Schizosaccharomyces pombe: one gene and its partner. Changing the gene in region 1 together with any one later gene gives a genetic interaction. Each region holds a gene or a part of one and is shown on either strand. Other genes may lie near its edges.

Region 1 (5,760 bases):
GGATAAGATCTGAGAGACGGAAGGCTGTGAAATATCTTTGCCAAACTTTTCACGGAACCATTCGATAAGATCTTGTTGACCGGAACGGTTTTGAAGTTGAAAAAAGTAGTGCCTAAGAGCGCGTTTTTCATGTTCTGTAATGGCTCTTCTTTTGATTTTTCCCATTACTCGATAGCTTTATTATTTCTAATGTCTTGAAGTGAAAATATAAGGATAGCAGAGCAAAGGTTTCTTGCCTTAATAAAACGACACTAACAGTCACGAGTTCGTAATATTATACTGAACAGCGTAACGTAATATCTAAGCTTAATATCTGTTAAGCGATGAAACAAACAGCGGTAAACAGTATAGTGAGTTTCATCTTCAAAAATCAACATATGGTCGTACCAGGTTTGGCTTTCCTAATTCATCTGGGCCAATTTTTTGCAGTGGTATAAAAAAATGAATTATTCCTGGTGCTATTTCATGGTTTCCAAATAAAAGTTTTTGGTCGACATAAACTGGATTACCAGTAAGAGTATTGTTAGTTTTGTATTTAGTATATTTGTGAAATTGCGTAAAATTGCTCAATAATAGTGCGATGAAGGAAAAATGGAACAAGGAATTAAAAAAAAAATAATTCCGCTCAGGGGACGAAGGGACTAAATTATGGAAAAAGTAGTAACAATTGATTATTGATGGGGTTACTATAAAATATTAAAAAAAAAGGTCAAACTCTATAAATGATGTATTTAAATTTATTTTTATTCTCTTTTTTTTTTTTTTTTTTTTTAATTTTTATATTCTTCAGTAAAAACTAATAATTTTTGCTAGGATTGCATTCAAGTCAATCTAAAAAAAAGCAATTTGTGTAGCAATTCACATATTTTTTTACAATTGACGGTATCATGAATTTTACTGTAACTTACTAACTGATAAATTTTCTTTATTTCGTGGATATATACTAGTCTACAGAACATGAACATATATGGAAGACAGTAGATGAACGAACATTCTACACTTACAAACGGACAGTTAGTTATCGCCTTGGAAATTCAACTTGCTAATAAAATTATATTAAATGATATGCATATTTAATTCCATTTTCCGAAATCATATTTTCTTCAAAAAATAGCATTCAAACGCCTCAAACTCATTATCACTCCATTCTTAATTGCCAACCTATATTACCAAATGCCGATGGTGCACATTGCCAGATAATCGGTTATTAGATCCGGGTCTAGAGAACGAAACCATTGCAGTTGTTAAAATAGCATATCTTCACAAGCCATTGTAAAATAAAAATATCAAGATATCAGATATTCATTAACGGTGTATCAAGAAATTTGAGCGCAGTTAACTTACAGAACCTCAAGTAGATAGGTATCGGTCGCATACCTTATCTTTCGTCCTAGTTCACTTGCGAATGTTCATACTACATGACGCCAGTCTAATTACTACTTATTCATCCCCGTTTGTAAATAACGACTCGGTAAATGCTACCTCGGTTAATTGGACTTTGTAAATGTTAACAGACTTAGCGCGACAAACCTTTGAGCGGCAGCATGGTATAGCAGAGGATGAAGTGAAAATTGGGTTGTTTTAATCAGAATTCAAAAAGTATGGTTTTCTATGTAGGATCCTGAAGAAAACTGCTTGGACTCCTTAGTGGCAGAGCAGATGACAATGAAAAAGAAAGTCTTTTTTTTTTTTTAATTTTCTTTTCGAATCCTTTCTTTCTCATTTATTTATTTATTTTTTTGATATGTCTTGTGCCCCACTAATTGAACGGCCACAGCAGTGTGACGAGGTAAATTAGATCGAAATAGTATACATTTTAAGGACCTGCTGATGAAGTAAATAAAAAGGGTTGATATCGTTAAATTGGTAAGTCACATGTTGGTTTCCGACATTGAGTTGAGAAGAATCATGTAAACATTACCAAATTCATTACCGAAACAATATGAATTAAATAAATAAATAAATAATATTTAGAGTTCAATCCAGCCGAATTGGCATTTTTTTACTTAGCAACTAACTGTCTCAAACGCACCCTGGCAGCAAAGGCGTGAAGGTAGAGAGCGTGTACAAATGCTAATGTTTTGTCGGCTTTTTACAGCGCTTCGTTGCTATTTACAATGAATCCAGCGCGTTGTTTACGGTATAACGACGCGGTAAGCCACAATAAACGGTCGATTGCTACCTCTCGTCCAATCTACCTGGTAACCGCTACCTAAATGTAAACAAAACAGTACGCAAATCCAAGCAGTAAACAATAAAACCAGCCATTAGGTTAGCCAATTAAGGAGTCAAAAAGTGTCCATATTTGTCGATCATTGTTTACTTGGTAGTGATTGGTTGTCAAATTTTCTTTATCGTAGCATACTCTAGAGCGCTCCGTGAGTTGAGAAATTGGTATAAAAGATACTCATGCCCAGTTCCTTTGTTCCATTGTTTAATTCAAAGACGAAAGCTCTAATTTAGATATCCTTTCTTTTCTTTCTTTACCTTTTTCTTTCTTTTTATTTTTAGAAGTCGCTTGCATTTTCTATTTTACACACTTTCCTTTACATACAGCCCGATTATCTGTTTTCTTCGTTAACATTGTTATCGTGAGTTTCAGTTTTTCTTCCTTTTTTTTTTTTTGCTGTCTGTATCGATATCCTTTTTAAAAGGAACTTCTTTTTTTTGAATCGGCCAATCACTCTGTCCAATTGTACATTGCTATTTTGTGTGGAACTGTTTTTGTACTTCCTTTGTTCTTACATTGCGCGGTCCATAAAGGTGCTCATATATATACCCCTTTTCTTTATACCTATTCTCTCTTCTGCTTTGAAGAACACATAAATATATACACACTCACTTGCTTTTCTCTTAGAATTTGAGACGTGCTTTTGAATTGAACTAAACTGGTTTCTTAACAGTTTTTCGTTCTCTTATTCGTTCTTTATATCTATATTCTATCTCTTTATAATATCATTAAAATGCTCTCTTTTACATCGGTTTTTTCTTTTTTCTTGCATGCATTGCTTCTCAAGACAGCATTTTCCTATGTAATCAAGCGAAATAACCCCGTTTTTGACTATACCTCGGAAAAAGTCCGTGGTGTAAACATTGGTGGCTGGTTGGTGCTGGAAAATTGGATCACTCCACAATTGTTTACTCAATTTAGCAGTATGTCGAATCCTCCCACTGATGAATGGGGCTTTTGTGAGGTTCTTGGTGCAGATGAAGCTGCCTCTCAATTAGCTGCTCATTATAGCTCATTCTACACTGAATCTGATTTCGCTACTATAGCTTCTTGGGGTGTTAATGTTTTGCGTATTCCTATTGGGTATTGGGCCTTTAATGTGGTAGACGGCGAACCATATGTTCAAGGGCAAGAGTACTGGCTCGATCAAGCTCTTACTTGGGCTGAACAATATGGCCTTAAGGTTTGGATTGACTTGCATGGTGTTCCAGGCAGCCAAAATGGATTTGAAAACTCTGGTAAGACTGGTTCCATTGGATGGCAGCAAAATGACACTGTAACTCGTACTCTTGACATTATTACCTATGTTGCTAATAAGTATACCCAATCTCAATATGCCAGCGTGGTTATTGGAATTGAGACGGTAAATGAGCCTTTGGGCTATGGTCTGGATATGGATCAACTTAAGCAATACGATTTAGATGCCTATAATATCGTCAATCCTCTTTCCAGCTCTGTTGCTACTATCATTCACGATGCCTATGTTGATCTTTCTATTTGGGATTATGGTGTTGTATCTCCTTCTTCATACAATCTTGTTATGGATGTCCATCGTTATCAACTTTACGAGTCGGATGAGTGCTCAAAGACTCTCGATGATCATCTTTCAGATGTTTGCTCCATTGGTGATTCCATTGCTTCCTCTCCCTACATTACTGTTACTGGCGAATGGTCCGGAACTTTAGCAGACTGCACGATTTTCGAAGAAGGAGTTGACTCTTCGACATTTATTGGACCAAACAGCGGTGATATTTCCACTTGGACGGATGAATATAAGGGAGCTGTTCGTCTGTTTATCGAAACTCAGTTAGATCAATTTGAACGCGGTGCTGGTTGGATTTACTGGACTGCTAAAACTGGTGGACCAAGTCCTACTTGGGATATGGGATTACTTATTGAATACGGCGTATTCCCTCAACCTTTCACTGATAGACAATATAGCTCTTACTGCGGTTAAGCAAAGCCATATCAAAGTTAAAAAAAAATTTTATCTATTCTAGCTGTATAACACTAATTTATATCTCACACATCGTTGTCATGTCCTGTCCTTGCATTTATCATCTACTATCATTTAACGTGCTGCTATCTACTATCCATTCAGTCTTTGTTTGTTTGGCATTATCTTTAGACATTAGTTTTTAATATATATTGTTGTTTTCGAAATCTTTTAGTTATGTGATATTAATATTTTGGTAGCAAGTTCCTACTAAATTAATATTTAGCTTAATAGTTTACGTTCAATATTGCATATTTTTTCGAACTCTATATTAACAGTAGCTGTACTTTGGAGAAAGTTGACCGAGAAATCTTTTTAAAGTTGTCCAATTGAATTTTCAATTATCAAGTATCTTCAGTTTACTTATATGAAATGTATTTTCTGCTCTACTCTTATAAGTCAGTATTGAGCCACATAGACGGACCACTTTGAGTTAGTCTCGGAAAAGCAAATCGACAGAATAGGTTTTCACTCAGCCACAGGTGACATATGTTTAAAATACTTTTATAAAAATTACATTTAAATTGAGCGATTTCTTGGTAAAGTAATATTACACATTTTCTGATCTGATATAGGCTTTATACGCATTAAACGAAATAAGCTCATTAAGCATTCTTTAACGAACTCGCTTTTTTAATTTAATGAGATATCTAATTCACTAGTATGTATTCATTATGTTGTCCCTAACAAGATCAAAATTGTTACACTGTAAATGTAACGTAGTTTGTCGACTAATTTATACGAATAATAGCTTTCTTCTTGCCCAAATTAGTGAAATTTGTTAGACAATTTAAACAATTAAAATCATATACAGAATTAAATTGACTAATTCTATTTAATCGAGAGTAACTTAAGTATTGTTCGTCGAGCGTATATACCAGCTGCTACTTATTGCCCTTGTGGAGGAGGACATTACTGTAATTTACCGTGTTTTAGCACATTAAACCTTTTAAGGATGTCTGTTTAACTAACGGTTACGGATGTTTAAGGAGTAAAAAGTCGAGTCTGCAAAATAACTGTAACCTGACCTACTAGATGATCGAGCAATTGTTGAGTAGTTAGTATATAGTAATCACATATGCTCCCCAATGGAATATCAAAGAGCCATTGATTCTATTGAAGAATGTCTCAATAAACAGTTAAGACTGTCATCCGAAAAGGTTGACCAATATGTACTAATAGAAAACTGGACCTCATTAGTAGGCCACTTGAAAACCTTACACTCTTTAATATCAAATTACACAAATGGTAGAGAATTACAAAATGAAATTAGTTCTTTGCTGAAGCAGGATAAGGAACTGGATTTACAAATTCAAGACTGCATGAGAGAAATGACCTCAATTTATGATACCCATCTTCCAAAAACAGTGTCGGGGAGAAAACGACAAAAAGTTAATGCTGAAACACTCCTTGATTATGGTAGAAAACTTTCCAAGTTTTCCTCTGCACCTCCTGGGTACAATCCCGAGACGGGTCAAGATGCAAAAGCTCCTGTGCATTATCCTTGGCCATCGGAGGACCAGATGCGAAAAAC
Region 2 (4,756 bases), 310 kb from region 1:
GGAACGAATAATGGAGTAAAGCGGACAGACAAGGAATGGTGAAAGAGGCCATTGAATTTAAAGTTAAGAAGCAATGCGTATTACCTTCCAATTAATAATGGACCATTTACTCTATAGAAACAGTTCTGATGAATGAGATAGTATATTTTTTGGCGCAGAAAAGTAGAAACGCTAATGCTTTCTATATGAAGACATTTCCAGCTCTTTCTCGTTTTTTAAAATCCTTCTTTCTCTCCTAGTTGCAAAATGAAGAAATAGAACGATCAGTATGCAACAGGATAAACCAACGGATAACCCAATTGCAAGTTTCTTGTCAATCGGGTTTACAGAAAATGCAGGGGAAACATCCACTACCATCTTCCAGTAAAACGTGTTCGCTAATAGGACCTGTGGACCCACATATACCGTGCTGGCGGTACCATTTTGAGGAACAGCAACAACTCGCGCAGTAATGTTGTCCATCTTCATAAGCCATTTCTTATCTATCTTTACCATCCAGTAAGTTTGGTTGGAAGGAATAACACCACTGCTCGTAATCAATGTGTTATTGGAGTCGGCATATTGCAAAGCAATTTCGACAAACTGTTCAGTGGGTTGTTTCCATTTGACAGCATAAGTAAATCCTCTAGCCCATCGAGAATCTTAAACAAAAGTCAGTTTTACAATACTAAAAATTAAATAAAAAACATACCTTCAGCAGGAGTGATGAACTCAAATTCAGCCCGAACAAGATTGATAAAAGTAAGGATTAAGAATAAAGCAGATCCTAGAAAGAATTTCATTTTGTGAACCCGAAGTTTTCTTTGTAGCTTAAAAAAAATAAAAAAACGGTCTTCTCTAACGTGAATCTTACAATGTCTTTAGCATAGACTCAGTGATACGGCAATTGTCTGCGGAAGATACATCAACAGCCAGGGACGGAAGTGTAAAATTAACTCGTACTCGTTAATGCGATATCATTGTATATATTCGAATGATACTGTTATCGTATTCAACAAAAAAAATTAGTAAATCCTTTTTAGAGTGGAAATATATGAGTTGAAAATGCTGTCATCAGAACCCAGATAACTTTACACTAATAAAATAAATTTCGGTTATTCGTTTGCCGTATCCGCATGGCTTAAAGTATAGAAAGAAAAAGCTATTTATAACAGTCTAGCATATAATTATGTTGGAAACGAACTGCAGTAGTAAGCAGTAAACAATAAACAAAAACCTTTAACAATGTACAAGAAATAAACAGAAAAAATAATAATATTAAATTAATTTAGTAAAGAATCAACCAAGTGTTGAAGAAATCTCAAAAATTGGTTATGACAGGTGTGCTGTTTATTGTTTACATACTAAAAAATTTTGATAAATTATGCTTTCGTTCTAAATAGGACTCTAAATGTTACCAGTTATAGAGCTAAAGTAAATTTTTTTATAAAGGAAATATATGTAATTTAAATTACTAGCTGGTCTAGTAATTTACTTTGACACTGTCTACCGTTTAATGATGATCATGGATTGAAAATTTGTATAAACAAATTGGAGTGCTTCATTGGCATCATTTGTTTACATTTTCATTTGCTTTGGGCCGATATAGCAAAGCTTAGGGAACAAAAAGTAAGTTTTGCTTAGAGGGAAATATTTGGGTTTGGCGAAGTAAACAAACAAACAAACTATTAATGAAAATTGTGCCTCATCTAACAGCCCGCACTTTACCAAACAAAAGGCGACTAAAATAAAAATTAAAACAGGAAATGCTTTCCATGCTATTACCTTTCGGAAATTCAGGTGTATACGCCAGTGATGTAGATCGAGAAGATCGACCAGAAATTGCTAAATTGGTGCAAGCATTCCCTACCATTGAAGAAGACTATCATGTGGTTAAGTTAGTAGGAGCAGGAAGTTTTAGCAGCGTCTTTAAAGCGGTGGATAGACATTTCGATAGCTACGATAACTCCTACTGGATATCATCTCAAATAGAAGATCAGATGCCCCATGACAAAACCAAGAGACCAAAAAACCATTTTGTTGCATTGAAAAGAATTTATGCCACCGTTCTTCCCTCAAGAATCCAAACTGAACTTGAGATGCTACATGAACTACGAGGCAGTGATTGTGTACTAAATATGATAACTGCTGTAAGACATCAAGATCAAGTGTTAATTGTACTACCGTTTATACAACATGCAGAGTTCCGGGACTTCTATATGAAATATTCTCTTCCAGAAATTGGTGCGTACTTAAGAGACCTCTTGAAAGGGTTGGCACATATAGATGCAAAGGGCATAATTCATCGAGATATCAAACCAGGTAACTTTGCTTGGAATCCTTACACCCAAAGGGGAGTCATACTTGACTTTGGATTAGCTCAATGGCAAGAGGCAGATGCACCTACAGAAAATTGCTGTGTCGATAAATTGAGAAAACTGAAGCAAGAAGGAAAATATTACGATTATTTTCCATTTGAGAAAACGATAGCAGATCCTCCAGAGGGTTACTTGCTACATGATCCAAGGCCTACAAAACGTGCTGACCGAGCCGGAACAAGAGGATTTCGAGCGCCTGAGGTATTGTTTCGATGCCAAAATCAAACATCCTCAATTGATGTGTGGTCAGTGGGAGTCATTTTGTTGTGTTTTTTAACACATCGATATCCTTTTTTCCGCTGTGAAGATGATATCGATGCAATCGTAGAATTAGCACATATCTTTGGAAGAAATGGCATGTCAAACTGCGCATTATTACATGGTAAGTAGTTATTAAACACTTGAGCGTAAAAGTTGAAAAAACGAAGAGAGAAATCGTTTTCTAACCAATGCTTCAAATCTTTTTGAGACAACTTTTGAGGTGCTAACTTGTATTTCTCTCAGGACAAATTTGGTCAGATAACATTCCGACTCTACTAGATCAAAAGCATAATTGGCTAGACCTAATTGCTAGCATTACGAAGAATGATGAGAATTTAATTTTAGAGACAAGCTCAGATTATCAAGTGGCTTTAGCCATTGACTTGTTGGACAAGTTATTAGAATTACATCGTACGTGCAAATCCCAAAAACAAAATACTAGGAAGTGGACTAGGAGGAAAATTCTTAAATGACAAAAAAAAACGCGAACCGAAATGGCCTTTTTTTTATTGTTTCATTCATGGATTGTCTTCTTTTATGATGCTTTTTAGGTTTTTTAACGAAGCCTGGGGCTATCCACTCTGAAACTAGTATCTTGATTTCCAAACTCCAGTTGTATAAAACAACATGGCAGGAATTAATTAAAAATTGAATGGCTAACAATTATCTAGCATCGAAACGAGTAAAGGCCAAAACAGCTCTTCAGCACGAATTCTTTAATGCATGTGGGGTTACCCGGTCAGGATTTGAGGCAGAAAACCCTTTTCGAAGTGATTTCCCTTCAACTGTAGAGCAGTAGACGTGTATCTGCCAAAGATGGAGAAATTTCCACACGTCGGAATTCCATAATATCATTCAAAGTTTTATTTATTGTATCGATTAACTCTTAATAATAATGAATGTCAAAGATAAAGATATTTGAAGTTGCGTGCGTTGCAAACATCTCAAAAACCAAAGCACGTGAGAAAAGCGAATGTGTAACGGTCAAATACTAAGTACAGTAAAAGGTTAACCAAATGAGCAGACTAAATACGAAATGTTTAGATAGGATGAGATGTCTCTGACAAACATTAACCTACTTTAATCGTTACAATGCCTGTAGCGTCAAGTCATTATAGTGGAATCAGCCAACAGATGTGTCAACGTCGTCGAATAAAGTACATAAGAAACAAATCAGCAATTAAAAGTACAATAACCTTAAACTAAGAAAAAGCCGAATTCAAAATAAGCCAATTTCCTTTCTTCATAATGATAAAAGATATTTTCCAAAATGTAAACAAAAGATCGCCGAGAAGTTTCGATCATGAAAAAAGTCAAACAGTCACGTACTCCATTATCCATCTCTTTCAAACTCTTACTGACGTGGGCCATTGCGTGAGTGAAATCACTAAACAGATGATTGCGTATTGTTTACAACGTCACTAAGTGTTGATTGCGCACCGGCTTTCTAATGTGTTATTGTAAATAACGATGTTTTGTTTTTCCAGTATACTCTTTAGCGATAATGTTATGAGAATAGTATGTACACTGACTATCATATTAAAGAGGTAGGTATTGACACCTCTTAAGCTACATGTGTAAAGAGATTGATTTGTGAGCGTATCAAAGGAAAAAATGAAGTGTAATACTGAATAAAAACTACTCCTTTATTTATCTTCCAAGAGATTGAATATATAGGGGAAACATTTTTTTCTTAACTTCACACTAAACCATCTCTAAACAAAAGTCGGGCACCAGAGAGAGTAATGAAGTAGTGTAGGACAAAAGGTGCTATCGTGCGTTAATTATTTTACTGTAAGGATTTAACACACGGTAAACAAACATATCGCCTGATGTCATTATTCGCTTCCCATAGTAATGATGTAAATATGTTATGACGCTGTTAGAGACTTACGTTTAGACATATTGATGGAAAATGCATTTATTCCACCCAAATCTAATACTATAAAAGGACTTCCTTTCCCAACCTAGTTGAGCATCGTTTCACACAAAAATAAGAATTGTTTGTTTGTATTTGGATAATTCTATAGTTTGTTCTCTCTTTTCACAAGACTATTAAATTTTATTTTTTTGCATTGTCCAACCGTCTATTAATATATTTATCAATACTTCCAAAATGTCTAGCTCTAAGGCCAACC

Evidence for each region. Genes that interact genetically often act in the same process or in processes that back each other up.
Region 2: mutations in exg1 (region 1) and spo4 together harm fitness more than expected from each alone (negative genetic interaction), as found in Schizosaccharomyces pombe (one large-scale study listed by BioGRID).

What each region holds. Positions count from the first base shown.
Region 1 is NC_003423.3:3,512,175-3,517,934, forward strand, and holds exg1 (cell wall glucan 1,6-beta-glucosidase Exg1), read left to right. Parts: upstream 1-2,429; 5' UTR 2,430-2,963; coding exon 2,964-4,187; 3' UTR 4,188-4,393; downstream 4,394-5,760. Other genes in the region: ARS-binding protein Cbp1, read right to left, coding at 1-165; pmc4 (mediator complex subunit Med4), read left to right, coding at 5,315-5,760. UniProt on the Schizosaccharomyces pombe protein: Beta-glucanases participate in the metabolism of beta-glucan, the main structural component of the cell wall. It could also function biosynthetically as a transglycosylase.
Region 2 is NC_003423.3:3,825,433-3,830,188, forward strand, and holds spo4 (serine/threonine protein kinase (DDK family) Spo4), read left to right. Parts: upstream 1-1,745; coding exon 1,746-2,739; exon of another isoform or gene 2,740-2,861; coding exon 2,862-3,029; exon of another isoform or gene 3,030-3,289; coding exon 3,290-3,417; 3' UTR 3,418-3,528; downstream 3,529-4,756. Other genes in the region: protein psg1, read right to left, coding at 172-641, 692-782; SBDS family protein Rtc3, read left to right, coding at 4,735-4,756. UniProt on the Schizosaccharomyces pombe protein: Required for the initiation of meiosis II and progression through anaphase II.